Rhinolophus ferrumequinum: one gene and its partners. The protein of the gene in region 4 purifies or fractionates together with the protein of the main gene of each other region. This does not show direct contact. Links are inferred from orthologs where the notes say so. Each region holds a gene or a part of one and is shown on either strand. Other genes may lie near its edges.

Region 1 (7,992 bases), on a different chromosome or scaffold from region 4:
ACTTTTTAAAATTACCAAGAAACGTGCACTACAAATGTTGTCACCCCATTACTGATCTTTACCCTATCCCTGAACCCCAGGGCACCTATGACCCTCTATGTTATGGCTCGGGGGTAGGATGAGGCTTAACGATAGGATAGGTTAGTGATCTTTGTTTTGAAAATTATTTTCAAAACCAAAAAATCTACATCCCACAAACTTGGGTGTCCTTTGAACATTCATCCTTATGGATGCTGGCTAAATAGCTGCCACCAAGGTAGTTGTCCTATATGTATTCAGAGCTGTTATCTGCCTCACCTGTTTTCTCTCTTACTTGTTCAGATTTCCGAGACTTTGATGCCTGTGCTTAGTCTGTGCTTGGCCACTAATAATACTGTAGACCTGTGCCATTGTCACCAGATAGCCTTCAGGGTTTCCCCAGCATCTCCATTTGTTAATCTTTGCAGTTCATAATTCTCTTCCCTTCAGATGGGATGGAAACACTTTTTTCTTCTCATATCCAAAATTTGGGTGGGTGGGGGGAATTGCAGTTGGAGAGGATTCCATGGCAAAAGACTAGGTCACATAGTGAAACAGTTTTGAGGTTTAACCACAGCCCTCTCTTTGCCAGAAGGCATGTATGCTGGGAGTGGGTGGGTAGGGTGCAGGGTAGGTTGTGGATTCTAGTACAGGCTCAGGATCATCTGGAACTTCACACTGTTTCTGACCACGCTACTAGAATCATTCTCTACTAACACTTCTCTCAGGGGCTCAGTTGCCTCTCTCTGCAATCCAGTTTCCATGCCCATCTCACAGTCCACAGATATAGTTGTATACATTTGAACTCCAGTTTTCAACAGAGTTTAGTTTCCTTCCCATGGGTTTTATAGGCCCTCAACAAATCAGGGAGTATTACCAAATGTATGTTCACTGTATCAGTTAGTATGTGGTTGGCTGAAAATAACGAGATTCCTGGCTTAATAAGGTAATTTATGTCATTTAAGTCCACAAGGAAGACATTCTCCACGCAAAGAATCAATGAGCTACTTAATGATGTTACCAGGAATCTGTTTTTTTCTCTCACTAGATGATGCTCGGGGATCACTTCATTCTAATATTGATCTGCATGTGGCTGCAAAATGGTTCCAGAGATGGCCAGAACTGCTAACTGTTCCTATTCAGATCCAGAGAAACAGACATCTGAATGAAACTTGAAACTTGGTCCCTGTCAAGCCATATGTTATTGCCAGTTTCAGTCACATGCCAGCCTGAATCTCAAGGCATAGACCACTGCAGTTTTAAATTTGGAGTCAGGGTAGACCTTAGCCAAGTGGGAAGAGCATACCAAGCAAGGGAATAGCAAGTGCAAAGGCTCCAATATGGGACTCTCCTGGTGTGTTCAAGGACCAGCAAGGAGACAGTGTGGCTAATGCAGAACGAACAAGGAAACAATATCACAGGGTCACAGAGCAGAGGGGCAGCGGGAGCGGAAGTGGGAGAGAGAATTCAGACAGTATAAAGAGTTTGACTTTTACTCTGACATTTGAACAGAGGAGAGACAAAATCAGATTTGATTTCAAAGATCAATCTGGATGCAGTTTTGAGGAAAGCCTATAGGAAGCAATAGTGAAAGCTTTTAGTTAGGGGACAACTATAGTACTTCAGACAAAATATGATGATGAATCAAACCTAGGGTGGCAGTGGAGATTGAGAGAAGTGTGAAATTCTAGATATAGTCTGAATAGAGTCAACAGGATTTGCTGGTGGATTGAACGTGGGCTGTGGACAAACAGAGGAGTCAAAGATGACTCTATAGTTTTTGGTTCGAGTAACTGGAAGGATTGAGTAACCTAGACAAGGAAAATTGTAAGAGTAGGTTTGGGAGGCATGATCAAGAGTTCAATTTTGAACATGAGTCTGGAGTTTGAGAGAGAGAGAGAGGTCTGGGTTAAACATACAAGGTTGGACAATAATGTTCATGAACTCATCCTAGAAAAAGTGCTACATACCTCACTGCTAAATATCACTACGGTCACCTTTGAAGTACTCCCCTTGGGAAGCTGTGCACCGATGCCAGTGCCTCGTCCACCCTTCAAAGCAATTTTGGAACTCTTTTTCTGGAATGGCCATAAGGGCTGTCATCATATTACCCTTGATGTTCTGAATGTCATCAAAATGTCTTCCTTTCAATATTTCCTTTATTTTGGGGTAAAGAAAGAAGTCACTGGGGGCCAGATCAGGTGAGTAGGGAGGGTGTTCCAATACAGTTATTTGTTTACTGGCTAAAAACTCCCTCACAGACAGTGCCGTGTGAGCTGGCGCATTGTCATGATGCAAGAGCCATGAATTGTTAGTGAAAAGTTCAAGTCATCTAACCATTACACGCAGTCTTTTCAGCACTTCCAAATAGTAAAGTTGGTTAACTATTTGTCCAGTTGGCACAAATTCATCATGAATAATCCCTCTGATATCAAAAATGGTTAGCAATATCGTCGCAACAAGTTTACGAACTTAATTGTCACACCTCGTATATGGCAGTCCTAAGTAGATAAGTGGTTTTAAAGGCTCAACACTGGTCCAGATTACCAAGGGAGTGGGTATAGATAGAGAAAAAGATCATGGACTGAGCCCTGGGGCACTCCAACCTTAAGAGTTAAGGGAGAAGAGGAGGGACAACAAAGAAAGCTGAAGAGTGCCTAGTGAAGTAAGTGAAAATGTCAGAGATTGTAGAAGACAAATGAAGAAAGTGTCCAAGAAGGAGGTAGTGATCAACTTGTCAAAAACTATTGACAGATCAAATAAAATGAGGACATTACATTTAGCAATGATAGGAACACATAAGGTGACTCTGAAGACAGCAATTTCAGTGGAGTCAGGTAGGAGGGGGCGGTTCTAACTAGAGTGGGTTTAAGAGGAGAGGAGAAAAGTTGGAGACTGTAAGAATATTCAACACTTTACTACAAAAGGGAGCTAAGTAATTGGGTGGTTGATAGAAGGGGGAAGTGGTATCAAAGAAGTTATTTTTTTGTTTTAAGGTGAGAAGAAATAACATCACATTTGTATGGTTATCGAATTGATCAGTAAAGAGTGAGAAATTGAAGATAGGGCCGAGAGCAAGGAGAACAGCTGCCCTTGATGTCTTTGAGTAGGGGACAGGAAATAGGATCCAGTGCACAAGTGAAGGGATTAGGTTTAAATTGGAGCCTAGGTAATACAGCTATGGAATAGCAGGCAGAGTGTTACTTTGGTACAGACGCTGGTAGGTAGGTCAACACGGTAGTGAAAACAACACGGAAGTTTTCTCCTGAAGCATCAGTATTCTCAATGAACATAAATGGTCATCAGCAGAGCATGAAGATTGGGGAGAAGAGGATGAGAATTGAGGAGAAAAGAGAAGGCATAAAACAGTTGTCAAGGAGACCAAAAGAGCAAATGGACTAAAGGCACATAGTGTAACTGCCTGGCAGCATAAAGGACCCACTTGAGAGTCATGGCTTTGATTTTAAATTGAGTCAAATTAACAAGATTTGGGTTTTTTCACTCCAGCTACACTCAAGTGTATGGGTGCAGAGCCCCACATTGGAAATTTGGATTTAATCAGGATGGTAGATTTGCCAAGGCAGTTCAACAAAGTGAGAGATGAGCAGGAGAATGAGCAGATGCAAGGGAGGAATTATAATAGAGTCTGGACTTTATAGATAAGGAGACAAGTGAGGACATCAAGAGGGTGGCATCAGAGATGAGGTGGCAAGATTTTGGATTTGGTATCTTGAAGGGGCAGGGCGATTGTTGAGGTCAGAGTACTAGGGAATGCACGGCAAATACAGAAGGTGTGGTCAGAGAGTGGATTCATAATATAAAACAGAAATTATGGATGAGGTGCAGTTATTGATAATGACAAGTTCTAGGGGATGATCATGAGCATGAGTGATTGAAATAGGGTGGAGGAAAAGATCATCGGAGGACAGGAGTCAAGGTACTGAGAGTCCAGGGAATTGCAAAGATCATCTATTCTACATATATTGTTAATCACCAAGAATTAAGACGGGATTAGTATTGAAAAGAATTATAGTGAGAAGGAGCTACATAGTCTAAAATTGAGGAGGAGAAGGAACTGAGTGGGGGGCGGGGAGCAGAGAATGACAGCAACAGGGAAGTGTACTGAGTGATACAGGGTGATGATATAGAATTCAAAACTCAGAGGCAGTTTTAGGGAATAGGGAGAGAGCATGGTCTGACACTAACTACCAACACTGAAAATACAAGAGATTTCACATAATCTATATAGAGTTCATATAATCTGGCTGTCACATAAAATTCTGGCTTCTTTGTAAATCAGAAAAATCTGGCCTTGCTGACTGCTTCACTCTCCCATAATGATTTCCTGGCTCCTGTATCTGACCTTGGTTCCTCTGTTCTAGCAATTCAAACCTACCTATTACTTAATCGTATCTTGCCTCCATTTCTCACTTTATTCAGGTAATCCCTTTGAGAGGTGTAGGGTTTCTTAAGCGTGTACAGATTGACAATAAAATCGTAGCCATTTGAACAAAGGGACATAGAAACTCTTGCCCAAACGGTATTGCCTTTAGCAATTTTCAAATATATGCTGTGGAAAACTTTAGCTGAGAACAACTTGGAAATTCTGGTAGAGCACTGAATGATAGCATACCATCACGGTTGATGTCTAGGGGGCGCCATTCCCAAAGACTACAAATTTGAAAAGTTTCAAATAGGTGTTGATATTTTTCAGTGGGTAGTCACTGTCCACCCTTCCAGGCTTTAAGGTTGGGATTTTTCTCACCACTTTCAAAGGATTTCCTCTTTTTTATCAGAACATCTGTTTCAGGCCTGCAGGGGGGATATTACAGCATAAACGGCAGAAGATTTCAAAACAATGGTCAGTTTTACCTAACCTCCATGTTAAAAGCGAAATGAAGAAGGAAAAGGTGGGCTAACAATGTTGCATCAGTAAATCCCAGAGAGAACACAGTAAAACCAAACAGCAGTATGTAGAATGGGCAGCAGCTTCGTGAAGAAAATGACCACAATTTTATTTTGCTTTGTTCTCTCGTGTTCATCTTTTCCAATAGTCACTTCATATATGCACATGTATCTGTTTAAATCCAGTAGAAGTTGGAAGGAAAATACGCCAAAACGTTTAGAGAGGTTGTTGGTTGTCTTTGGCTGAGTGGGGCTATGAGTGATTATTTTCTTCTTAATTTTTCTGTTTTTTCCAAGTGTTCCTTAATGTATTGGGTTTCTGACCAAAATAAAACGAAATAAACTTTTTAAAGAAGTAATGGCAGCTCTCATGTCCATCCACTTCAAGAGACGGTCATGCCAGGGCAGGCAGGCAGAGGGGGGGGCAGACTGTCCATTAGTTCTGCATTCTGGTCTTTCTCCAGCTCTCACTCTTTGCTTTGTGTCTTCAGTCACGTCCCAATCCCAGAGGAATGAAAGGATTGCCTGAAATTTAAAGCCAACGTGAAGGAATCAGCAGAGGCAGGGAGACCCCAAGGCGAGGCTGGGCGTCCCCGTGGACATCTCTGGGGAGTGGTGCTTTGCGTCATGTGGGGCCCGCCCCTTCCAGGACCTCGGCTCGGCGTGTTCTGCCGTCTTGGCCCCGGTCGTGGAAGCAGGATTTCCGCGGTTGTGTAACGGCATCTCGCGGGCGTGCAGAGACCTGGGCTCCGCATCCCGCCTCCGCCGGGCCCCTGGTCTCCGGCAACCGAGCCATGGCCTGGGCGGCGGCGGGGAACTGCGGGGCCAGCGGCGCGCTCTCGGTGCACACGCTCCTGTTCGATCTGCCGCCCGCACTGCTGGGCCAGGTCTGCTCAGTCCTGGACAGCTGCGACGGCGCGCTGGGCTGGCGCGGCCTGGGTGAGTGCGCTCGACGGCGGCGGGCGCGGCCCGCGAGGGGTGGTGGGGGCCTCCGCGCGCACGCTCTGTCCGACCGGCCGCCCGCGCTGCCGGGCAGCTCGGCGCGGTCCCGCGCAGCGGGGAGCGCGCGCCCCCGCGGCGTGCCCCCGGGGGATTCCCACGGGCTAACTGCCCTCTCCTTGTTTTGGGAAGGACACAAAACTCTCAGAGAGCCTCCCAGGAGCCTTCCCTTCTCTTTCAAAGAACCTTTGGTTATCGCTGGAAGATAAAGTGAGAGGATGCTTGGGCAAAAGTTACCCTACGTACTAAAACCTTCTAATGTTTATCAATTATTTCTGCCTTCCCTGGTTCAGAGTATTTAAAATCCGAAAGGCGATGTGATGTCTTGTCATTGCTAAATTACCCTAGAATATAATTTTCATATTATAACATTTTTATAACTTTAATATTTCTCCTTTGGTGTTTTCAGTGCATTCCCGTCTCCACCTTAACTAAATTTTGGGTGAAATGCTAAAGTAAAATACTGTTTGTAATTAACGTGGCTCCCAGTTTTCTTAATTACATGTATCATAGTCATCCAATTTGATGGAATGAAGATTTATGCTAGAAAATGGCTTTTTGTTTCAATCCAAAGTTGGCATCAGAATTCCATTTTATGCAGTCATTGGAAGGTTGCACAACTGCCTGTTGGAAGTGTTGAGTGTGATCACCAGAAATGATTCAGACAGAAATCTTTGTTTTGTTAAGTGCAGGCGTTTTTGGTTAGATTTGATACTCCATGATGCCACATTTAATTTTAGTTGAAAATAAACACAATTATGTCAAAACAACTTAGCCTTAATTCTCTGAAATAGCTATTTATCTTACCAAGAATAGCAGAAGATCTATGAGGAAAGTTTTGTTTGTTGTTGTTAAATATGGTCACACTTTCTGCAATGTGGCATTTGGCTTCCAGTTATATAAAAATTGTTTATATAAGCCCTATAATTTTAAAATTATGACCCTTAAGTAAAACCCTCAGAAAAGGATACTTGAGTCTTTGATTTCTGGAAAACATAGAGATTTCCAGGATGCATTTGAGGGATAAGATCCCTCCCACACCTGATCTTTTTGAAATGAATGATGGCATTGGCAGTTTTCGCACCCATTGGTTTCCCTCCATTTGTGAGAGAAAATGTTTTTAGCCTAGTCTATTGGGTAGCAAATGGGGCCGGGGAGGTATCATAAATGAGTGAAGCAGGTTGGTGGACACTTTGAAAATGGGAGAAAATATGTCTCATCCAAAAGGGACAGTTACTAGTAGTACTCAGTTCCGGGTGACTGTTGCTTTTCAGTATGTTTAGCCCAGTGTTCCTGACTCTCTTCTCCCCTCTCCTCTCCTCTCCCCTCCTGTCCCCTCCCCTTCCATCCCCTCCCCTACTCTCTCTCTCTCCCCATTGCAATCCAGATATTCCATACTTTACATGGGTTGTTACATATAACTCTTCCAATTGCCCTATGAGACAGGTGCTATTATCATCACCAGTGTTTTAACAGGTGAGGAAACTGTGGTGCAGATTAGTTAAGTAATTTGCCCAAATTGGCACAGCTAGAGCCAGAACATGAGCCATGGCAGTCTGGATCTAGGGTCTGTGCCCTTACCTACAGCCACTCTATATTTCCCACTTCCCAACCATGATTTCCTCAGAGTTACAAGTACTGCTGTGCTTTCTCTGCTACATCTTACAGCCTCCCTAAGTTACAGCCGTTTCTGCCATAACAAGGATTCAGTGAACCATTTATAACATGCAGCCCCATTTTCCTAGTTATGGAAATAATTGAAGGCCACCCAAATGAGAACAAGCAAAGGCTGTTTATTCAAAGCGAGTGAGTCAGCCACCATTACTTGCATTTGACAAAGACACAAAGGCAGGCAGAAGAGTAGAAAAGCTTTATAATGGAAAAAAGAGTCGGCTTCAGGTATGCCCTGATTGTAGGCTATTGACATGAGAAAACTGTAAAAGGGCTAACTAAAAGTGGGGGATTCTATGTGATTGTTCAGGGGTGCATATTTGGCTTTCTCCAGTTGGCCCTAAGTTGGAAGCAGGGGCAAAAATTAGGGAAGCCGTCAGTTATTAATCAAGTTCAGAC
Region 2 (7,428 bases), on a different chromosome or scaffold from region 4:
CTGTTACTAAGGTTCGATGTGCTGCTTCCCATATCAAAGATCCCTGCCTTTGCATCACATGGCACTCGGCAGCAGCATTCATTGTATTTTGTGATCACAACAGAAAGGCTCTGTGTCACACATCGCTTGAGGTATGTCAATTTCCGCCAAATAAAAACATTACAGTATGTCCTCATCCACCTTATTCACCAGATTTGGCACCATGCAACCTCCGGTTCTTCCCCAAAGTCAAAATGACCATGAATTGTAAATGTTTTGAATTGATTCAGGATATTGAGGCTGCCATGACAGCACAACTAGACACAAAAGAGGACTTCCAGAACTGCTTTTGAAAGTGGCAAGAACGAAGGGATAAGTGTGTTTGAAGAGAGGGAGAGTATTTTGAGGGGGATTAATGGCAATGTGTCTCTTACTGTAATAGGTTTCTTTAAACATTCACTGATTTTCTAATCACATTTCGTAAGTGTTAAGATAGAGACAACTACAGGAAATCGCAAATCAAAGTTGGGAACACCCTACCTGTAGACCACTAGTACATAGGAATAGAAATCTAACATGCAAAAAACATGCCTCTCCTAGCCTTTTATGGGGCCCAGGGGAAAAATATAAATGGAGGTTCACATATTCTATGTCTAAATATTCATAAGTTCTAACTCAAGATAACCAACTTATAAAAGAAATACATTCTATCTTCCTACCTTGACAATACTAACTTCACTAGAATGCAGTGATGTGATCAAAACTTGCCTTCAGCTCCTGACTTATCCCCCATCTCCTCCTACTCTGGACTCAGTTCTATACTGCAAGGAACCTTACACACCCACATGTGGACACCCTGACCTACCCATCTGAGCCCACTCACACTCCCTCCCCACAAAGAGATACCCATTGGCTAGCCCTCAAGACCCAAATTCATTGGTCACTTTTGAGTTTTTCTCATGTTTAACTTCTTGGAAGAATTCAACACTGAAAAACCTTTGTATCTTGGTTTCCACTCATCATAATTTTGTTTTCCACAAATTTCTTTGGCAGTTCCTCTACCCATGCCTTAAAATTTTTATTTCTTAAATCTGTTTTAAGTCCTACTCTTTTTCACTTCTGTAGGTGATCTCATTCATTTCCATGAATTAAATTATTATCAGCAGGCCAATACTGTTACATAAGACCGGGTCTTATATTAATCTTTGCTCCAAAACACGTAGTAGAGCTGATTGTCCGGCTAGGTCTTATTTTCGGGGAAACACGGGAAAACGGCAGAAAACTATTTCAGAACTTCCTGGAAATAATATTTGATCAGGTTGGCTAGTCTGGTTCTGAGACAGGGAGTAAAGACAGCACTTTTTAGGTATAGAGCAGACCTCTGAATAATAAACATATGTTGGTTGCATATCCAGCAACCATTCCCTGCTTTGTGCCTCTTAAATCTTCAGATTTTTCTCCTAATTAGCAGCTGCTCCTCTTCCAAGCCCCTGCTTTAGTGAGTTCTGGATCTAAGCTAAACAAGATATTTGCCTCAAACCTCCTGTCCTCCATTCCTCACTCAAGGGTACAGTTGCCAAAGTCTTTTAAAAAAGAAAGTTCCCTGCTCTTCTCAGATAACTAGCTACTAAAAGAGGTGCTTCCTGTCATTGTACTGAAAAGTGTGATGTCATATGAAAAATTAAACTGCTAGAGCATGCATTCTCAGTGGGGGTAAAATCGCCTCCAAGGGGTGAACATTGGGGAGAAAAAAATCTTACTCTTTTTATGTATAAAGCAGAAATATGTACACAGTACATAAACAGATATACAGTATTATCTGTGGTATTAAAGCTTTGGGGGGCATTAGAAATAGCCTTAAAAGACTCCTTAGGGGGCAATGATATTTTAAAAGGTTGAGAACTACTGTTTTAGAGCAATGACAAATACCACAAAAGGCAGAAAGCAATCATGGAAACTCATTATTGATACTATTATTAACTTTAGAAATCAAATGACACCTGAAGCCTGTTCTAGCTCTTGACTTTCCACTTAACTAAGCCAATTAATCCCCTTTATTGTTGAAGCCATTTCTCACTTGGACAACTGAGTAGATGATGGGATCCTTCATAAAGGATCCCAAATGCACACAGAAGAACAAATCTGTGGTGGGTGATAACTTCTAAATTTGCTTTTGCAAGTTTGAAAGGTGTTTAGGTTTCTATTTATCATCTAAATAGAGATGTCCAATAGGTCCAGAATTCAAGAAAAATTTGAGCACTGGGAGAGATTGGGAGTCATCATAAAAGTGGTATAGGAAGTCAAGGCCTGGAGTAAAATTATCCAAAGAGTGTGGAATAAGAAATTATTCCTTCATTCTTTTATCCATTCACCAAACTATCGAGTGTTACTGGAACTACAAATAAAACATGACAATGTTTTCCACAGGAGTTCCTGTCTTCTTGATTGCCAAATCCAATACCCTATTTGCAGTCCCAAATGTGTTTAACTTACGTCTATACAGCATTTATTTGGCTGCCTTTTTCTTAATTGGAAAGCTCTCCTCCAGTGATATTCAGGTCACCGTTCCCGTTTGCCCCTTTCTGTTCCTTTTCAGTCTCTTACCGAGACTTAAAATTTGACATTCACAGGGTTTCATCCTTGGTCTGAAACCTTCATCTCTAACTCCAATTATCCTAGTTAACTTCAACTCAAATTGACTAAATAAACAGCTAGTTCAAAACTAAAATTTGTGTTGATAGTACAACACAGGCAATACTTTCCGCCTTGGAGATACACTGACCTAAGTTCTACAAGCTTGTGAGGATCATAATTGTTTTTGACAAGGAGAAAATTCTGCAATGTTCTAAATTACAGCGTAGGGAGAGTGAGACAGAACTGTTAGTCTGTTGATGGCTGCTCGCCAGCTAACAAAAGACTGCTCACAATCTTTGTACTGCCTATTGAAACTTTATACTAATTTCCAGGTGGTTATTACTACAGGTGATTTTAACCAGGCACCATCCAACTCCAGGAGCTCCACTTGTTTACATGTGGGCTTTCTCCACTGGTGCCCACAGCCAATCTACAGAAACGGACATTTTTTATGGGGACCCTGCGCCTATCTCACCTCCCACCCTTTTCCTACAGCTAATGTAAATTCTTTAAGACTACCTTTCTTGTCCCTTCCCCCTACTTGATGTATAAAAACGCTTGCAAAACTCTGGGAGGATGGACATGCTCTCTTTTCTATCTAGCCATGCTTCTGGTGGTTTAGACTCCATGCTCCAAGACCCGTCTTCTTTCTGGCTTAGCACTTTGGCTCAATAAAACTTTATCTTAAAAAAAAAAAAGAAAAAGAAAAAAAACTTCAGTTATGGAAGTTATCACTCCGTATGTATTATTAATATTAATGCAACCCATAACTTCATATGAACATAACAAATTATGTCAAACTATTTATTTCTACCTTATCTAATATTAACTTCTGTTCTTGAGAACTCAGCCTACATACTGTTATCCAGATTATATGCGCTGGCTCGCTCTGTATTATTTTCGTGAGACTCTCTCCGAGTCAGAGACTGACTCAAAGTAACAGTAGCAACTGTTTCCTTCCATAAACCACACTGAGGGAAACACCTTTTCCAAGGCTTCTTAAAGAACTAGTTCAGCTTAGCTTAGGGGTGAAATTAAAATGGTTCATCACATAAACTCAGTCCAACACTACCCCGGCCGTCTGCAGGTCTCTGCGAGAAAAGGGACCAGGGCCATAACATACTTCACCAAGTAGAGGTGAAACCATAGCTTTTATCTTTCCCGCTGGTTCCTAAAGGACCAACCGCACAGACATTCCATCGTGCTCCGCGCTACTTCCGTTCGCGCATTTGATTTACGTCAGAGCGTCAGCTCTCGCGGTATCATCCGATTGCTGAGGCCCTTTAACAAAGATCTCGCGAAATTTGGTCTACAGATCTAAGCTAGCCTCTTACCCTCCCCCGCCCCACCCCCAAAACTGTCCTTCCTTTCTCAGTCTCAGTTAAAAAAATTCTCACTTCCCCTCCCTCGAGCTCGCTACCCTCCTCCTGTTTCCGATTTCAGGCCGGAACCGGAAGCTTAGTGGGCGGGGCCCGGCGGCGGAAAACGCAGCGGAGCCGGAGCGGGGACTCCGCTGTGGCCGCTGCCCCTGTCCCTTCCACGGATCGCCGTGGCTCCAGGCTGAAAGTCGGTCAGGAGGCGGGTGGGCGCGGGTCTCCCCCGGAGTGTCCGGGCGGCAGCTTCCCCGGGCCCCCCGGGCTCCGCGAGGGATCATGTCTACAGCTTCCGCCGCTTCCTCCTCCTCATCGTCTTCGGCCGGTGACATGATCGAAGCCCCCTCCCAAGTCCTCAACTTTGAAGAGATCGACTACAAGGAGATCGAAGTGGAAGAGGTGAGCGAGGCCCGGCACGGAGGCGCCGGCCCCGGCCGCTCCCACCTCTACCTGTTGTCGACTCTTAAGGCGCCTCCGCGGCCCCTCTGATTCACGGAGCCCCTCGGGGTTCACCGGGGAGTCCCAATATCCCCACAGAGACCGGGTGTAGAGCGGACTCTCCGCGTTCAACTGCTCGGGGGTAGCTCTATTTTTCCCTCACTTCGGCACTCTTGAGTTTGGATTTGACACTCCGGTGCCTGGATTTGGGTCATCTCAAACAGGAGGATGAACTGGTGAGACAGTGTGGTCCACCAGTTCTCTCATCTGTAAGTAGTAAATTCATCCAAGCCCGTGGCCGTTTTGGAGTTTCGATTCACTAAGACATGGTGTTCTTAAGGGCCAAGGATTGTACTTTATATTCGACATTAGCTCTGCCTGGCACGTAGTGGGTGTTCAGTAAATGCTTGGTAAATTAATACATCATTATATCTAACAGTTTCCCCGAGGATCGAATGGTTTGTTTCGCCGATTCCCTAGGAGCAGTAGGGAATGTTGTGTTCTGCCTTCAGCTGGACTAAGTCAGATGAATTTCAACAATAGTAATATACACTGGTGTGCGATGAAAAGATGTTTCAAGTATCGTATTCTGAGGCGATAACTAATGATTTCGGTGACAACTAGAATATAACACCAGACCACAAAATCGCTGTTAGAAAACCCGAATCTATACTTTATTTTGCAGTAGTTTAAGGGTAATAACATGTGCCTGTAATACATTGCTGCTTTTCAAATTCAGAGGAGTAAATTGGTTCTAAGGACCATAACATACAGAAAAGCAAAAATTGTATATATTTTAAAGACACACTTTGCAAAGTGTTAAACCTTTGGTTGAAAATAGTATCTATCAGTTACCATTTACTTATCAGTTTTAGAATTTATTAAGTACTTTGTATTACGTATTCCACGAAGAACCCTGTATGTCCTATATTACAGACTTTTGGTTATCTCTATTTTAAAAATCCAAAATTATTTTTAGGTAGTGACAAGCTAAAAGATAATTATCACTTAACAAATAAGTTTCTTTTCTATGAATGTTTTGGAAGAAGAATAGGTTACTTAATCATATTTTTTTATTCCATAAAGAAACCTTAGAGATCACCGAGAACAACCTTATTTTACAAGGTAGTTTAAATGGGAAGAACGAGGCCTTTTGGAGTTAGAGGAAGGTCCAGTATATTAGCTATGCCACTTAATAGTTGTGTGATTTGGAGCAAGTTTCCTAACTAATCCCTTGGAGCTTTAGTTTCCTTAACTGTAAAATAGGGGTAATTTCTATTTCATTTTACCTGTATAACAGATGCTATTAGGCAACATATGCATTACACCCAACACAGTGCCTGACACATATTACTAGGAAACAGTTCCAGAGTACAACAGTGACCTGCTTTAAGGTCACATAGCTAAAAGAAGGACCTGTGGTTTGGAAAAAGGGGGGGATTTTTGTGTGTGGATATGTTTGTTTTGTTTTTTTCTATTGAGGCTAAGATAAATTCCTTTTTCAGAAGTGGATAGTTTATCCAACTTTCATGGCTAACATTCTTTCTTTTTTAAGAATAAAAATTCAGTGAGTCTTTCTTTTTTAAGAATAAAAATTCAGTGAGTCAGTATAAAAGAATTGCAGTTTTTAAATAAGCATTTACGTCTACTCTGTGGTGAACTGTCATGCTTGTAGACTACAAATTGTTATATAATAATAACTTGTACTTCATGGTCTACCAAATGCTTTCACTGAGTTACATCATTTGATCCCTACAACATTAGGTTCTGCACACTACTTTCTAAAGCATTTTACATTCTCGCTTCTTGGAGGAATGAAAGTTATTAAAAGGAGACAGTAACTTTTTGCTGCTCTTCCCCCAAAGCCATTTAACTTCTAACTAGGTTTTTATATTTCCAAAGACCTTTCAGTTTAAATAATGTTTCAACCTTTCTTTGGTATACTTAGGACATTTCTGAGATGTAGTTTTTTGTTTTTAAATGAAAATTTCTAATATTAGGCAATCATTTAGGGTTTTTTTTTTTAAATACCCAGTTTATTTGCCCTTTAAAGATTATATTTGGATGTTTCTGATGTTGCAGCCATTACATAATTTTCATCAGATTTCTTCATTTGCATACCTTAAAATTGTGGTATATGATCCAGAGTGCACCATGGGTACTCAGTAACTATTTCTCAACTTAGATTCTGCTTCTAGGTTAAAATCATTAATAAGAGAACAGAAAAAGACCAGAAACAGAAAGTATTTTACATTGCTTTTAATATTTTGTATAAGTATAGCCTATAAATAAAGAAAATCATATTCCAAATTTGTGAAATAACATTGTAATTGAATCCGTATACTGATTCATTTTGAAACTATGTAAGAAAAATACTCCAACCACAGACCAAATATACAGTCATTTGTTTAGTTGATGCATATGTTTAAGGCATCAGCTGATTTAAATGCTTACATCCCTAATAGTGTGCCTCTATAATCAGTGTGGCATTTCCTAAATTCAGTTCTGATATCAAATTATGAAAGGTCTCAGCCTTGGAAATCTACATAGATACTTTTTGTTTTAAGTCATTTAGTTTTTACCATTCTGGATCTGAGTGTAGAGAATGTTAGAGTAATTTCTCTGAGGTATGTACATTTTGGGAACTAGCTTGCAAGAAGAGGTAAAAGTGGTGTGATATGGTGAGAAGTGTTCTTGGTATTTAGAAAATTTAGATTCTGCCATAACATATTTCAGTAACTTTGAGCAAGACACCTCATTTTTCTTGTCCTCTGATTTCTCACATAACATAAGAGATTGAAAAAGATCACTTAAGTTCTTTTTCAGTTCTAAAATGAAAACGTAATATATTGTTTCCAGTATTTATGCCCTGTTTCCACAGTAAGCTTTAGGGACAGTGATCGTGATCTCTCACGGAATGGACAGGGCAAGTGATATCCACATTGTATAGATATTGACAGATGGACATGGAGTTTGATTTGCCAGAAGCCTTAAGCCTAAGTAA
Region 3 (7,807 bases), on a different chromosome or scaffold from region 4:
TCCACTCTAACCACATTGACCTCCTTACTCATTGTGGCATTTTGATTTATGATGAGAAATATATATCTGGTCTTTGTCTTGTTCCTGGTACAGAGCTGCTAAAACCCATGGAATTTCCTAAGTGATAAGAGCCATAAAGGTCAAAGGAGAATCTTTTGTTATTCATAACAAACTCATTCCCACCACAGATGAGGTCCATGATTCTCCAACTCAGGGCAGAAAGTGGCTATCTCTGAATCTCTATTTCATATTCCCAACAGATGGAATGGATTGGCCCATACTAGGTCAGGTTGGCTCCCCATTCCACTAAGCTGTGGCTAGGGGATCATGTCACAGAGATGAACATAATTGCCGGGGAAGCATCATTGGGACTAGGGGAAAGCAGGTGCACTGGGATGCCCCACAGTAAGTATTTAATAACATTGTTAATGAACGGGTAAAACTATAAACAAGAAGGCTTTCAGGATTTCAAGATCTCGGGACAATTTTTAGCCCCTCCTGTGGTTTTTGCTTCTCTCTATTCACCTGCCCTTCCGCCCTATGTCCTCTCACTGGCTTCCTCAGCTCCCTCGGGTTCCGCCCCCTCTTCAATCACCGTGCTGATGGCTGTCACAGCTTCACTAAGCCCCTCTACCTTCTGATCTTTTAGCTGGAACAAGTCCCTACCCATTCAAATTACAGAGTGTGAGGGTTTGATTGAACCAACTCATCGTATTTTTAACATTGTTACTATTATAAGCAAACAGAAAGCTCCTACAACAAGATGTACAGCTTAACCAGCTATTACAAAACGAGTATTCAGGTGACTATCATTCGTCAAGAAACCAAGCAGCACCCTGGACAGCACCCTAACGCTCCCCATGTGCTCCTTCCAGGTTATAACCACTGTCCTGATTTTTATACATTGACTTCCTTGCCTTTCTTTATTTTTACCACCTAAGCGTGCATCCTGAACTGATATACCTTAGTTCGGGCTATTTATGAGCTTTATATCAATGGAATCATACTCTATGATTCCATTGTATGTGTTTGGCTTCTTTTGCTCAGTCATGTTTTTTTGTTTTTGTTCTTTTCTTTTTTTTAGTAAGAGCTATATTGAGATATAATGCACATATCAACCATACAGTTCACCCATTTGAAGTGTACAGTTTACTGACTTTTAGTATGTTCACAGACATGTGTAACCATCACCACAGCAAATTTTGGAACATTTTTATCACCTCAAAAAGAAACTCGTACACTTCAGCTATCACCTGTCATTCTGCTACCCGTCCCAGGCCTAAGCAACCACTACTGTATTTTCTGTCTCTATAGAGTTTCCTGTTGTGACATTTCCTATAAATGGAATCATACAGTATGAGGCCTTTTGTGACTGGCTTCTTTCACTTAGCGTAATGTTTTCAAGGTTCATCCTTGATGTTTTCAAGGTTGTGGCACTTATCAGTACTTCATTCCTTTTTATGGCTGAATAATATTCCATTGTATAGATATATTAAATATTGTTTAGCCATTCAACAATTGAGGAACATTTGGATTATTTCCACCTTTTGGCTATTACAATAATGCCGCCATAAACATTTGTGCACAGGTTTTTGTGTGGACATATGTTTTCATTTTTCTTGGCATACACCCTAGGAGTGGAATTATTGGGTCATGTGCTAACTCTATGTTTAACTGTTTGAGGTACTGCTGGACTGCTTTCTTAGGTGGCTGCACCACTTTACAACCCCACAGGTTGTGTACAAGGGTGCCGATTTCCCTACATCGTGCCAACACCTGCCTGCTTTTTCCTCAATCTACAGGTCATCCTTTCCCATTTCTTTGTATGACTTATAATTTTTGTTGGAAACTGAATATTTTAGATAATATATTGTAGCAACTTGGTTCTGGTCCTCTGCCTCCAGGGCCACTGATGTTATTGTTATTTGCTTGTTTAGTGACTGGCTGGATTATTTTTTTGAAGTCCATCCTCCCCTTCCTGCAGCCCGAGTATAAAGCCTCTGCCCTTGGTCCTTAGGGAGTGCAGCCTTGGGTGTGCCTGCAGTCACCATGGGATGACAATGGTTTGTGCAAGGCTCTCCTTGACTGACTCTTTCCCTGACCACACCCAGCTGTGAAGCTCTACTCATTGCCAGCTGAGTTCTTTATTGTTTTCAACAATGTCTTGGGACATAAATTGCTCCAATCGAAGACAATCAAAGACTGATCCAATCAAAGGAATAGAGTTTGGGTCCCCAGATCTATCTATGGGGGTTCTATCTTTTTCCAGCCCTACCCTTCCACCTGTGACAAGGCAGAGCCCAGCATCTTAGCTCTTCTTTCTCCTCTCCTCTCCAAATTGGTTTAGCCCAGAAAGTTTGTTGTTGTTGCTTTTGGTGTGTTTGTTTTGTTTTTTGAACATCCTTTCTCAACTACATACACAAATATTATTCCACATTGTTTACACTAGCCCCTTGCCTTTGTTCACTTGAACCCAAATATTGAAGAAATCAGGGTTATATCTTGTTCCTTCCCCACCCCCCTTTTGTTTTGAAGCAATAGGGTCATGATCTAGATTGAAGACAGAGAAGGGAGGGGCTGAACAAAGGAATTTCAGAACAATACTGCAAATGTTTATGCCACCACATAGGTCCTATCATTCCCATTTTATAAATAAGAAACCGAGGCCTAGAGAGATTAAGAAGCTGGATTTCTTGGGACAGAGCACCGGACTTAGAGCCAGAAGCCAGCCAAGGATGAAACTTGGGCACCTGTGTCTGTTGGTGGTGTCCTAACTCTCCTTTCTTCTCCCCCATCTGGACAATGCTGGAATCAGGGTCCACCCCAGGCTCCCAGAGACCTCTTGGGATCTGGCTGTGCCCACCATGCAGCTCTGATTCCAGCTGAACCCAGCGCTCTACCACAGGAGAAATCTCTACCTCCTGTGGCGAATCCTGGAATTGCTCTCAACCTTTTCTCCCTGCAGTCTGGTGTCAGGTGGTGGTAGCATTGGAGCTCTGGTCAAACTTCGGATCCATACTCGCCTGGCTTTGTGATCCAGGGCAAGTATACCCCCACCCCCACCCCCACCCCCCCAAAAAAAACACCCAGCCTCATTTTCCTCACCTGCAAACTGAAGATTCTAATAGTAATTCAGCACACATTCACTAAGGGCCTTCTCTCGCTGGCAACGTGCCAGAAACTGGGAGCACAAAGGAGAGTGAGGCTGTGCCAGTGTCCCTGTGGCCTAAGATGGCTGTGCATACCTGGCATGGAAGAGGGCCTACTGTAGGCACTCAGGGATGGAAGCTATCCTGTGGCACAGGACTTGTATGACTGGCTGCAGGCAGCCCAGCAGTCCAGTCTGCTCTGCTCAGTGGTGGCGTCTCAGGGAGTTTCTCTTTGATTAATGAGTGCCTTGTCCTTAAAGGACTTGCAATCGGCAGCTTTCTTGTTTCATCTGGCTGCTGGGGCCTCAGAACAGTTGGCAAAGCAGTTGGTATCCTGAACTATTTTTAGGTGGGGGAGTTAGTGGGGTGTGTGGATGTGGTGAGGCCCCGGGGGTCTTGGAGACTGGGAGTTTTGTAAGCAACAAGTTGGGAGTGGGGGGGAAGGACGGTACCTCTCAGGAATGTATGGGCAAACTCACTTATCCTGCTTGGCTGGGGCCAAAGGCCATCTCCTCTGTACAACCTTCCTTGATTTGCTCAATAAAACACGCACTCCAAAGGCGCAGGTAAAGGGGTCACCCTCTGAGCTTCCCCCAGCTCTTGATTATGGTTCCAAACAGACCAAGCAATAATGAGCTGTAGGGATCTTATCTGATGTACCTCTGAGCCCCATTCTGCCATCGCTAGTCGTAACAACAAGGTATAGAAGTTAGGAGTCCAGACTTTGGAGTGACACAGCTGAGATTCACTCTTGGCCCCGTTCAAGCAAAATAACCATGACCAAGTCAGGTTCGTAAATTTGTTTTCTCATCCGTAAAGTATGATCGTGCTTGCCTCCCAGCAATTAAAGGGCTTATTTTGCTTAAAGCACAGAGGATAGCACCTGACAACACACGACAGACGAACTATCTCGCCAGCCGAGGCCGAAGGGGTTGCGCGCCCTCAAAAGTCTGCATCCCTTTTGTGGCATGACGCGTGGTGTGAGCGTGCTGGCGGGCAGGAGGCAGGTGTTCCTGGACACCTGGCGGTCCAGGCCCGCTGGAGGTCACCCAGCAAGAAAGTGGCCGAGGTGGGCTGGAAGACGGGTCTGCAACTCCAGTCAAACGCAGCAACTTTCCACGTCCTCCCTGCTAACGCACACCCCTTCCACCACCTTCTCTAGTATTTTCCTTCTCTTCTCTTTCCCGCCTCCGCTCTCTCCTCTAATTCCGCGGCTTCCCTATATGGGAGTTGGGGTCTCGGGCGGGAAGAGGAGAGTCCCCGACCTAAGCTGGGGAAAAGGGGCTTTCTGCCCAGAGCGAAGGCCCTAAACTGCTGTGGAGGAGGGGGCGCCCGGCTCTCTGGGAGAATCCGGAGTCCCGAGAAATGAGGGTGGGGTCTAAGGAGCCCAAACTGGGCAAGCCGGGGGTCGCTGAAAGGGCGATGGTGGCCGAAGGAATTCCCGAGACAGTGGTGGGAGGGGCTTTCAGGACCGGGGGAGGAGCCAGGGTGGGGGCGTGGTCTCCGGAAAGGGGCGGGGCTCCGAGGACAAGCTCCAAGCTTCGCCGCAAGAGGCGGAGTCTCGTGTGGGGCGGGGCTTTCCTGAAGGCGGGATCTAGTGGGCGGGGCATAGGGCAGGGGGCGGAGCGTGGCGGTTCGCGCCCGTCCCCCTCCCCCGGCCCCGGGTGTCCCTGTGACGAGGCAGCACACAGCCGCGGCGGGCCGGGCCGATCCCGCCGCAGCGGCCCCGGGGCCGAGCAGGGGCAAGGCGCGGAGACAGCGGCGCCAAGCGGGTCCCGGAACGCGGCCAGGTAAGGCCGCCGGGGCGGAAGGGGCGGGGGCTGCGCCGGGCGGGTCCTGACGGGCGCGGGGTGTGTGTTTGCGTGTCTGGGGGTGGCAGGGGTGTGGGTCCGAGGGCGGGCGTCTGTGGCAGTTTGCGCGCTCGCGCGGGAGGTCGCGGGGCCAGGGTGGGCTCTGCGCCAGTCCTGGCACTGCCCGCGGGGCTCGGGGAGTGCGGGACTGTGTGCGTGCACGCGCGTGTTTGTGTGGCGGGGCCGCCGGGTGTGTATCTGCGTATGCGCTGGGCTGTCATTGTGCCTGCCCTGGGCGCAGGGCGCGGGCCTGCCCCGGCGCAATCCCTCCTGCGCGGGGATGTTTTCCAAACAGGCTTCCTGCGGAGACGGGCTCTGCTGCAGCCAGAGCTGGAGGGGGGTGCGCCGCCCCCACAGGCCTCCAGAAACCCGGTCGGCCCGGGGACTGCAGACAGACACCTGAGGGAGGAAGGGGGCGCGCACCCAGGAGGGGTCCAGAGGCCTACCCGCAGGCGAGGCCAAGATGGGGAGACTGAGGCAGATGGATAGGGAGGTGGAGGTGGCCAGACAGGCAGAGATGGAGAAGAGGGTGCGAAGAGAGGTGGTGAAAAGGACAGAGCCTGGAGAACAGAGAGGCATTGAGAAGAGACAGACAGACAGAGGCCCAGACCTTCAAAGGTGCAGAAAGATTAAGATGGACAGACAGATTCCAAGAACCTGACAGAGGAGTTACTCAGTGGTCCTAGGGCTGAGAGCTAAACCCAGGAACTGAGTCTAAGATAAGGAGTAAGGGTCCAGGCCAAAAAGAAACCTCTGGCCACCCCAAGTTGGTCCATCCCTTTGGCCCCACCAAATTTTCTGACCCTCTGTGTGGATTGTTTCCCTCTTAGTTCCATCAAACCCATCAACTCCCTCCCCTGGTATCCCAGCAACCCTGGCAGTTTAGGAGAGGCAGAGGTGAAATGGTTGCCATAGCAACAGAGGCAGTGAAAGGTCACTCTGGCCTTAGCCTAGGTGGCCCTGCAGCAGGCCAGAGCTGGCATTGAGGGGGGTTGGGATGAGAGGCTGCAAAATTCTTTTTCTCCTCTCCCATTCTGCCTAGAATGGTGCTGGAAGGAAACCCTGAAGTAGGGTCCCCCAGAACCTCAGACCTCCAGCACCCTGGGAACCAGGGCTCTTGTGTCCTCTCTTCTCCCGGTGACGATGCACAGCCAGGCGAGGAGCCCATCAAGTATGGCGAACTCATCGTCCTGGGGTGAGCATCCTTGGTCCAGGTGTGGTGGGGCACCAGGCACCCCCACAGGACAACCTGACCCAGGGCCCCAGTTCTCCCTACCTACGACCTTCTGCTGTTTGTCCCTCTTTACCTTCTCATCTAAGAGACAGAGTTGACCAAACCCTCCTTAATTCATAATTGTTCTTTTATCTTCCCATTTTTCATAAATTACTGAAACAACTTTTAACTGCCCACCTAAGTTTCTGATCAGAAAAAAGTAACACTGCTGCCTTTCATAAAGCACCGTGTGTGTGTGTGTGTGTGTGTGTGTGTGTGTGTGTGTGTAGTCTGGAGTGAAGAACTCTGGTTTTCTAGCAAAGTTGCTTGGTTCAAATCCTGCCTCTGCAAGTTGCTTAACTTCCCTGTGCTTCCGTTTTCCCCTTTTACAAATAGGGATGATGATAATAATACCTCAGAGGGTTGTCAGAAGGAATGAATGAGGTGATTTCCGTAAAGCACATAGAACAGTGCCTGGCACGTATCAAGTGTTCTGGGAGGCAGGCCTGTGCCAAGCCCTTTCATGGACATTGTTTCATTTCAATCTTCACCAAGATGCTGTGAGGAAGGAGGTGAGGAAACCGAGGCTCAGAGAGGGGAAGTGACTGGTCCAAGGGCACACAGCTGGTAAGTGGCAGGGCTGGGATTTGGACCCAGGTCTTTCTTACTCTAGGTCTAGTGCACTTTCACTAAACCACAGCTGACCCTCATGCTACAGATGAGAAAACTGAGGAGAGAGGAAGAGCCGTGAGTTGGTGGCTGAGTAGACCTCCTCCCTTCCTGGTCTTTGCCTGACCAGGATCCCTGCACAACCCACTTAGTTCATCCCCCAGGCACAGATCCCTCTTCCTCCCCAATCCATGTATCTTTTTGGCCTCTCTTTCTGCCATCTGTCCTGAAGAAAACATCTGATAAGCTATCTTATCATTATGAAGATTATGTAGAAATAATGGCTACTGTTTGTTGACATGTACATGCCATGTGCCTTTTATGAAAAAAAAAGCTAACATTTGTAGAGAGGGCTTGTTGCATATATGCCAAACTCTGTGCCAACCATTTTAAATGCTTTATCTCGTTTAGTTCTCACAATGAACCCATGAGGTAGGTCCTGATCAATTGCCCCATTTTACAGAGGTCATGTGATGAGTGGAAGAGCCAGGATTTCAGCCAGGCCCATCTGATCCCCAGCCTGTGTCCTGAACTGCTCCACCCCCATATGTGAGAAGAGCTTACAAGGGCAAGAGTGATACCCGCCTCAGGGGTGCTTGTATTAGACTAGCATCTGCTCACTGTCCCAAAGACATGGCTGGCTTTGCAGCTGAGAGTGAGGCCATGACAGGGGAGATTGCAGACATAGGGTCAGGCCCTTTGGACAGCCGGTGGTTCTCTGCAGAGCAGTGAAGCCCCACACCGACTGTGCATCAGGGCCACCTGGAGAGTGCACTGAAAATACCCAGTGACGGGACCATCCCAAACCTGCAGAATCAGAATGTCCATGGGTGGGGCCACGGATCTGTTTTTTAACAAGCTGGTGAGAAGATTCTGATTCAAGTGGTCTGTGGCTGTATTTAGCATCTATTCGTTCTGTCACTCCT
Region 4 (7,263 bases):
GGTCTTGTTCCACCCGGTGGATTCTTTTGCCTTCCCCCCCCCAAGATTATTGGCATCATTGTTATTTTTAAGAACAGACAGGTTCATGTTCCTGCGAGGGGAGTCAGGAGGGTGTGAGCAGGGCCGGCCTGGCCTTGGTAGGAGGCTGGGGTGGGCCTGAACGGCCATGGCTCAGACGAAGGGTGGGCACCTCCCTGGAGACCTCCTCTGCTGTGGCCACAGGTCAGGTATATGCTGACGGGGCAGACTGGCCACTCTTCGCCTGACGCAGCTCTTTCTGGACAGGCCAGGTAGCGGGCATTACCGTTTAGTAGGACACTTCCATCACATCCCACCCCGTCCCGCAGCGCCCCACACTAACGTGACCTCTTATCTTAGTCCCCACCATCTCGTGTGATGAGATGCGGAGGGTGCGCTCTCTTAGCTGTCATCCAATTCCCAGCAAAATTTGGACGTGAGAACCCCCCTTCCCTTTCCATGGCAAAGCCAGACCCTTCTCAGAGAAGCTGTTCCCCCCACCAGACGGTTTGGGTTCACGGAACGGACAGAGATGTGCTCACTTCGCGCCAGGCGGCACCTCCTCCCGAAGGTGAGGGTAGTACTCACTGTAGTGACCATTTGCACGTGGGGTTTGGTAGCGGGTAGAACCAGGCAGGGTGGCTGCCCCCCCCCCAAGTCTCAGTGACACAGGCCAGCCACCCTGTGCAGAGGGAAGCCCGGCTGAGGGTGGGAGAGGTATGTGTGAGGCGCGGGGAGCCGCCCAGGACAGACTTGGCTGGAGATGTCTCAAAAAGCCCTCTATCACATTCACCTTCAGTTTTTGTGTTTTGGGACAATTACTTTAGGAAATAAGTAGGTCGTTTTAAAAAACAAAAAATATTGATTGCTTTTTTGTAGTGTTCAAAAAAAGGTTCTTTGTGTATAGCCAAATGACTGAAAGCACTGATATATTTAAAAACAAAAGGCAATTTATTAAGGAAATTTGTACCATTTCAGTAAACCTGTCTGAATGTACCTGTATACGTTTCAAAAACACCCCCCACTGAATCCCTGTAACCTATTTATTATATAAAGAGTTTGCCTTATAAATTTACATAAAAATGTCCGTTTGTGTCTTTTGTTGTAAAATCAAGTGATTTTTTCATAAGGTTCTTTTACTATTTGAAAAGATGGGCAGCACGCAGTTTTATTTTATTTTTGTAAGTTTTTTAATACGTGTGAAAGCAAAGACTACTCAGCATGCCTTTCTAAGTGACGCGTTTGCACCTTTTGTTGGGAAGTACTGTATCCTGTGCTGTTAGCATTCTCGATAAATCTCTCTGTGAAAGTGACTCAAGGTCTGGGCTTTCATTATCAGACAGCTCACAGGACAGCATGGTGGTGTGTTTCCTGATTCGGTCTGGCTGTCCCTGAACAGAGGAGAGCCAGCCACTTTCAGGACCGCCCTGAGAGGAGAGGGCAGCCTGCTCCATACACCACCTCCCCTTGGGCGTTCCAAGGCCGCCCTTGCCAGGCACACTGCTCCTGCATGTGTGGGGAAGCTCTGGGTGGCAGGCTGGGAAGGGCCTGGCACAAATCTGCCCGCCGTGCCCTAGGTCAAGAGGCAGGCGGGCTGCAGAACAGTGGCACAACCTCCCTGTTCCTGAGGGCCACGGTAGGGGTGCCTCTTTGGTCGGGATGTGCCCAGGTGCTTTTGGAAAAACAGCCCACTCCCAGCTCAGGCTCCTCCTGTGCCTACCACCTGAGACCCTCCCATAGCCTCTGCTGAACTGGCTCCCTGCCCAAGGGGGGCGCTGTCATCACTGGGGTTTGCAGGTGTCACACCCTGCCTGTGCCCCTTGGCTTCCCCGTAAGGCTCTGGCCTCTCTGGAGCTGTCTGCCCCGCACGGTCATCCTCACCAGGCCCTTGCTGGGCTGGAGGGGACAACTGCTCCGTGTCCAGCTTCACGCGCAAAGGTGGACGCACCTATTAGAAGGTGCACTCGAAAGCCTTGGCCTTAAACGTTAAAACAAAGGGTTGAAATTCAACCTGTGTGCACTGAGCATCTTGTGTGTGCCAGGCCTGTCCAGGGAGCTGCAGTCCAGCAGTGAGCAAGTAGGGCCAAGCGTCTGTTCCCTTAGAGCTCAGTGTGTGTGTATCCGCATGGTAATTCCCATCCTCAGGGTATGGGTGGCCCCCTCTGTGGGAGTGGCTGACACTTCTGGGAAGAGGTTCCAATGGACGCCCATATTGGGCGCGGGTTTTTGCAAACATCCCCGAGTCCCTGGGAGGACAACCTGGGGTGGGGAGCCCTCTGGGGTCAGAATCGAGAGGACAAGGGGGATGGACGGTCAGGGAAGAACTGTTACCTTGCAACAAGCATGCCTCTAGCTGGAGAAACAAAAGAAGAAGGCACCTGGTACTGTTGGCTGGGTCTTCCCCATCTACTGGGGGAGGCTCAAGAAGGGCACACCAGAGATGCCAGGCACAGCGGGGGCTGCAGACAGCTCTGCCACAGGGCCCTAGGGAGCTTGCACCCTAGCTTCCACCTGGAGAGCTGTTTGAGCTCAACCTTGTCACATGACGGCCAGGAAACTGCACGTGCTAACTCGTGGACACAGAAGGCCTGGCGCTTTCTCGGAATCATAAGGAGTTCTGGATGGCTTACGGCTGCTGGTGTGTGCAGAGCTAGACATGAGGTGGGTGTGCAGGGGCCATGTGGTGACGGCCATGGAGGCTGCAGTCCAGAGCTGCGACCCATCAGAAGGCTCCGGGAAGCACAGGAGTCTTTTGGCAGGAAAGCCCTGTGGCTTGATTTGTGCCAGAGGAGGAGCACCCAGGCAGACATGAGGCGCGGAAGCCATGAGGGAGCCGGCAAATTCATCCAGGTAAGAGGTAGTAGTGAAGGCAGTGGGCCCATGGGGAGGAGATGGACTCCGGACATGTTTGGGGAGAAGACAGGAACATAGTGGCTGCTGATGCGGAGTGGAGCCATGGAGGCTGCAGAGCACTATGGGAATGGGCAAGAGAGACAAATATGACCCAGACGCCAAACTGAGCTTGGTGCCTGGCCACTGCCTCAGAAAAGAGAGTGGGAGAGAGAGGCCTGACTGCCGCCCTCGCAGGGGGAGCGCAGACTGAGCCAGAAACGTGATCACGAGAGGGAAGAGGGACAAGAGGAGCTGAAACCTTGTTTTTAAGAGAGACAAGCACGGTTCATGTGCTAGTGGGAAGGAGCCAGCAAAGAAGGAAGAGTGGCAGATATTGCTACGAGGTAACAATTGCTGATGCAGGTGCCTGCAGGAGGGAAAAGACGGGATCCAGGGCACAGGAGGTGGGCGGAAATGCTCTGAGCCGGGGCAGCCTGCGGGTACGAGCTTCCAAACCGTTCTCCCTGCACCCGACCTCACGGGCCAGCTGACGGGAGTGAGCAGGGGGTGGGAGTGGGGCCTTTGTGGAACCCCCATCTGACCCTGTCCCTCCAGCATCTCTGACGGCTCTCCATTGTCTCCAAATAAAGTCGACACGTCTTAAGGGGACGTCCCAGCGGCTGACGTCCTCATGGCCTCCGTCCTCTTTGCTGAGAACGGCTCTCCTCCATCCGTCAGAGCCCCACTCAGACGACCCCTCCTCCTGGAAGCCCGCCCTGCCCGCCTGGCCCCGCGCAGTGGCGCTGCCTCCGCGGGAAGGGACCGCTTGTGGCGCCCCCGTGTGGCCGAGGGCCGCGGTGGCCGCGGCGGCCGCGGCAGCGGGCAAGATGGCGGAGTCTCGGGTACCGCCCCTTCCGCCCCGGCGGGCGTCGCACGAGGACGGCTTAAAGGGGAAGTGAGTCAGTGTTTGCGGACCCGGCCGGCCGAGGCCCGCGCCCGCCGTGGCCCCGGAAGGCCCCGAGAGGCCCCGGCCCGGCGGCGGCGGCAGCGGCGGCGGCCATGGCCGGGGGGCCGGGCCCGGAGGAAGCCGCGGCCCCGGGCGCACAGCACTTCTTGTACGAGGTGCCGCCCTGGGTCATGTGCCGCTTCTACAAAGTGATGGACGCCCTGGAGCCCAGCGACTGGTGCCAGTTTGGTGGGTGGCGTCGGGCCGGCGGACCTGCGGGGCGGGGGGCGCGCGGGACCCAGCGCCCAAGCCTGACGCACCCCACCCCGCAGCCGCCCTGATTGTTCGCGACCAGACCGAGCTGCGGCTGTGCGAACGCTCCGGGCAGCGCACGGCCAGCGTCCTGTGGCCCTGGATCAACCGCAACGCCCGCGTGGCCGACCTCGTGCGCATCCTCACGCACCTGCAGTTGCTCCGCGCGCGGGACATCATCACGGCTTGTGAGTGCGCGGCTCCGGGACCCCAGGACCGGAGGCCTCTCACGGGGCCCCTCCCCCTGCCTGGGCCTAACCATCCTTTCTGTCTTTGACGTCCCAGGGCACCCTCCCGCCCCCCTCCCACCCTCCAGCACCACCTCCCCGAGACCCAGCAGCCTCTCTGCACCCTCTGAAGCAGAGGCCCCCAGCCCCGGGAAGTTGCAGTCGTCAGCCTCCACTCTCCTCTCCCCAGGTAAGACAGCCCTAGTGTTGGGCTTGATGGACCTGAGAAAAGGGCCACCTTGACCATGGCCATGGCTGTAGATCCTGCCCCTGGTCTCTGCCTGCCTCTCACTGGTGTCTTTACGAAGCTTTTCCAGGCTTCCAGGCTCATTCTGGGCCTGAGATCGGCCGTGTCCCAAGCCCTGCTGCCCTCCGGCCACCACCACCACCACCTCTATCCTCTTCTACCAAGGTAGGTGGGTCCTGTCCCCAGGAAAGGTTCCAAACAAGTAACAAGAAACCCAGTCTTTGGTACACCAGGGATCCCCAGCCAGCCCAGCAGGGCCAGCTGGGAGGCAACTGGGATGGAGGTAGCTTGTGGCCAGGGCAGAGGGGAGGAGACAGGACCTTACCTGATTGGGGTCTCTTCCCACAGCAGAGCGCAGGGAACCCAGTGTCCCTCCTGCAAGGTACCCACCCCTCTCCATTCTGCTGGCCCCTCCATGAGATTTCCCAGGGCACCCACAACTTCTCAGAGGAGCTGAAGATCGGAGAGGGTGGCTTTGGGTGTGTGTACCGGGCTGTGCTGAGGAACACAGTGTATGCAGTGAAGAAGCTGAAGGAGGTGGGTTTAGCATCCCAGCGAGGGCCCTGGAGGGCCAGCAGCAGACCCTCACTTTTCTGGTCCAACCCCCTGCTTCCCACACAGCTCCTTCAGCCCTCTGATTCCCCAGCTCAAGCCCCCCCCCAGCCCCTTGGTTGTTCTGGGCCCAGGACAGATGGCACTGGGAGTGGCCATCGAACCTTGGCTGCAAGAGCCTCATGCTGCCCCTCTTCCCCCGTTTTCCCTGGGGGCTCCAGGAGGCAGACCTGGAGTGGACCACTGTGAAGCAGAGCTTCCTGACAGAAGTGGAGCAGCTGTCACGGTGAGCCTGGGATGTCCCTCTAGGACCATGCACCACGGGATCTGGCTCCCTCAGGCCCCCGAAGCTTGCCATGCCCAGCCTAGCTGAGAAACCAGCAGGGACTGCCCACCCCCGACTGACACAGCCATATGGAAAGCGCGGTGGAGACTGGGTGGCAGAGCACTCAGGCCCCAATTTTCCAAGCAGGTTTCGTCACCCAAACATCGTGGACTTTGCTGGCTACTGTGCTCAAAGTGGCTACTACTGCCTCGTCTATGGCTTCCTGCCCAATGGCTCCCTGGAAGACCGCCTCCATTTCCAGGTAGTCTTACCTGGCCCGGCACGTTTCCCCAGACCCACAGCGTCTGAGTGGTGTGGGGCATGGGGCCTAGCGCCTGAGCTCTCAGCCTCCGTGAGTGGGTCTCACCGGCAGGCAGGGCCTAGGCTCAGGGTTTGGCCCAAGGTGCGATGTCGTTTGCCCCAGAACTCTTTCCCATGGCCTCTTCCTGGCTGTTCTGCGTGCCCAGGAGCCTGGGACCATGGTACCTCTGAAAATGGGGTTATTGACTCCGAGTAACCTGACTCGGGCTTCTTCCCTTTGCAAGCAGAGTAGCTGAAGGGTCTTGTCAGTATTGCTCTTGGGGAAATGGGGCAGTGGCAGCAGGCTGCACTGTCTGGACCCACAGTTGGGCCCTGTCTAGCGAGACACCCACAAGACTCAAGGGCGAACTGCACACTGTGTTGGGAGAAGTGGAGAGAAAGCCTCCAGTGACATCCTGATCGCCCTGGGACAAATGAATGAACTTCAGGAACTGAGGACCGCGGAATTCTGTGATGACTCTGGAAAGCACATTCTCAGCCATTTTCCCAGCATGCTTTACAAAGCAGTGGGAATAGCTTAATCTCGCTCCTCTTGTAATATAACTCATGGAGATTTTGCTCCTCATTTTTCAGAAGGAGAAACAGTCCCAGAGAGTGAAGTGCTTGTCCAGACCCCGTGGTGACAGGTGGAGGGAGGGTTGGGGTCAAGGAATGGTGGCGCCCAGCACCCCCTGTGCCCCTTTGCTCCCTCTGCTGCTCCAGGCCCGGGCCTGCTCCCCACTCTCCTGGCCTCAGCGCCTGGACATCCTTCTGGGCACCGCCCGGGCGATTCAGTTTTTACATCAGGACAGTCCCAGCCTCATCCACGGAGACGTCAAGAGGTGAGGAGGGGAAACAGCTAGTCCCCTGGGTCCCCTGAGAGCTGCAGGGGCGGAGTCCATGGCAAGCCCATGATGCCCCCAAACCTTCCACCAGCAGAGCGTCTGGTCCCCAGGAACCCTGCCCTGAGTGCCCCCATGAAAATAGGTCTGCCCTCTCCTGCTCGAGGCAGAGGTGGGGATGGTGCAGCCCTGGGACGGGACGTCAGAGCTAGGGGCCCTGGGTAACGAGTAACTGGCATGGGTGGGACAGGTGTGGAAGCGGAGTCCAAGGATGCCCCACTCGTGGGGCCGAGCTGTGCAAGGGTGCACTGGGCTCTGCTTGCTTGGAGACTCTAAGGAAGCTGGAATGATCCAGCAGCACTAGTCGCTTTCTGTGAGCAGGGTGCAGGTTGGCAGTCCGAAGTCCGATGACGTCAGGGCCAGGCAGGTGTCGGGGGGGCAGAGCGAGCTGGGGCCAGGGCCTGGCTGACACGGTTCCCTTCTCCCCTAAGTTCCAACGTCCTTCTGGATGATAGACTGCTGCCTAAACTAGGAGACTTCGGCCTGGCCCGTCTCAGCCGTTTTGCAGGGGCCACCCCTGGCCAGAGCAGCAGTGTGGCCCGGACTCGGACCGTGCGTGGCACCCTGGCCTACCTGCCTGAGGAGTACATCAAGACCGGGAG

What was found.
Region 1: the proteins of IRAK1 (region 4) and IRAK3 purify together in Homo sapiens (co-immunoprecipitation; 3 studies listed by BioGRID and IntAct, with this or other methods). This does not show direct contact. The link is inferred for Rhinolophus ferrumequinum from reciprocal best matches to the Homo sapiens genes IRAK1 and IRAK3.
Region 2: the proteins of IRAK1 (region 4) and MAP3K7 purify together in Homo sapiens (affinity purification with western blotting; 5 studies listed by BioGRID). This does not show direct contact. The link is inferred for Rhinolophus ferrumequinum from reciprocal best matches to the Homo sapiens genes IRAK1 and MAP3K7.
Region 3: the proteins of IRAK1 (region 4) and PELI3 purify together in Homo sapiens (affinity purification with western blotting; 7 studies listed by BioGRID and IntAct, with this or other methods). This does not show direct contact. The link is inferred for Rhinolophus ferrumequinum from reciprocal best matches to the Homo sapiens genes IRAK1 and PELI3.

What each region holds. Positions count from the first base shown.
Region 1 is NC_046293.1:62,865,512-62,873,503, forward strand, and holds the start of IRAK3 (interleukin-1 receptor-associated kinase 3), read left to right. Parts: upstream 1-4,860; 5' UTR 4,861-5,717; coding exon 5,718-5,862; intron 5,863-7,992. UniProt on the Homo sapiens protein: Putative inactive protein kinase which regulates signaling downstream of immune receptors including IL1R and Toll-like receptors.
Region 2 is NC_046286.1:47,046,224-47,053,651, reverse strand, and holds the start of MAP3K7 (mitogen-activated protein kinase kinase kinase 7), read left to right. Parts: upstream 1-4,096; 5' UTR 4,097-4,265; coding exon 4,266-4,385; intron 4,386-4,483; exon of another isoform or gene 4,484-4,693; intron 4,694-7,428. UniProt on the Homo sapiens protein: Serine/threonine kinase which acts as an essential component of the MAP kinase signal transduction pathway. Plays an important role in the cascades of cellular responses evoked by changes in the environment.
Region 3 is NC_046294.1:5,518,299-5,526,105, reverse strand, and holds the start of PELI3 (E3 ubiquitin-protein ligase pellino homolog 3), read left to right. Parts: upstream 1-4,762; 5' UTR 4,763-4,939; intron 4,940-6,041; 5' UTR 6,042-6,042; coding exon 6,043-6,194; intron 6,195-6,767; coding exon 6,768-6,839; intron 6,840-6,908; exon of another isoform or gene 6,909-7,807. UniProt on the Homo sapiens protein: E3 ubiquitin ligase catalyzing the covalent attachment of ubiquitin moieties onto substrate proteins. Involved in the TLR and IL-1 signaling pathways via interaction with the complex containing IRAK kinases and TRAF6.
Region 4 is NC_046284.1:6,427,086-6,434,348, forward strand, and holds the start of IRAK1 (interleukin-1 receptor-associated kinase 1), read left to right. Parts: upstream 1-3,861; 5' UTR 3,862-3,909; coding exon 3,910-4,045; intron 4,046-4,128; coding exon 4,129-4,296; intron 4,297-4,393; coding exon 4,394-4,525; intron 4,526-4,643; coding exon 4,644-4,747; intron 4,748-4,930; coding exon 4,931-5,119; intron 5,120-5,355; coding exon 5,356-5,420; intron 5,421-5,606; coding exon 5,607-5,721; intron 5,722-6,482; coding exon 6,483-6,601; intron 6,602-7,092; coding exon 7,093-7,263.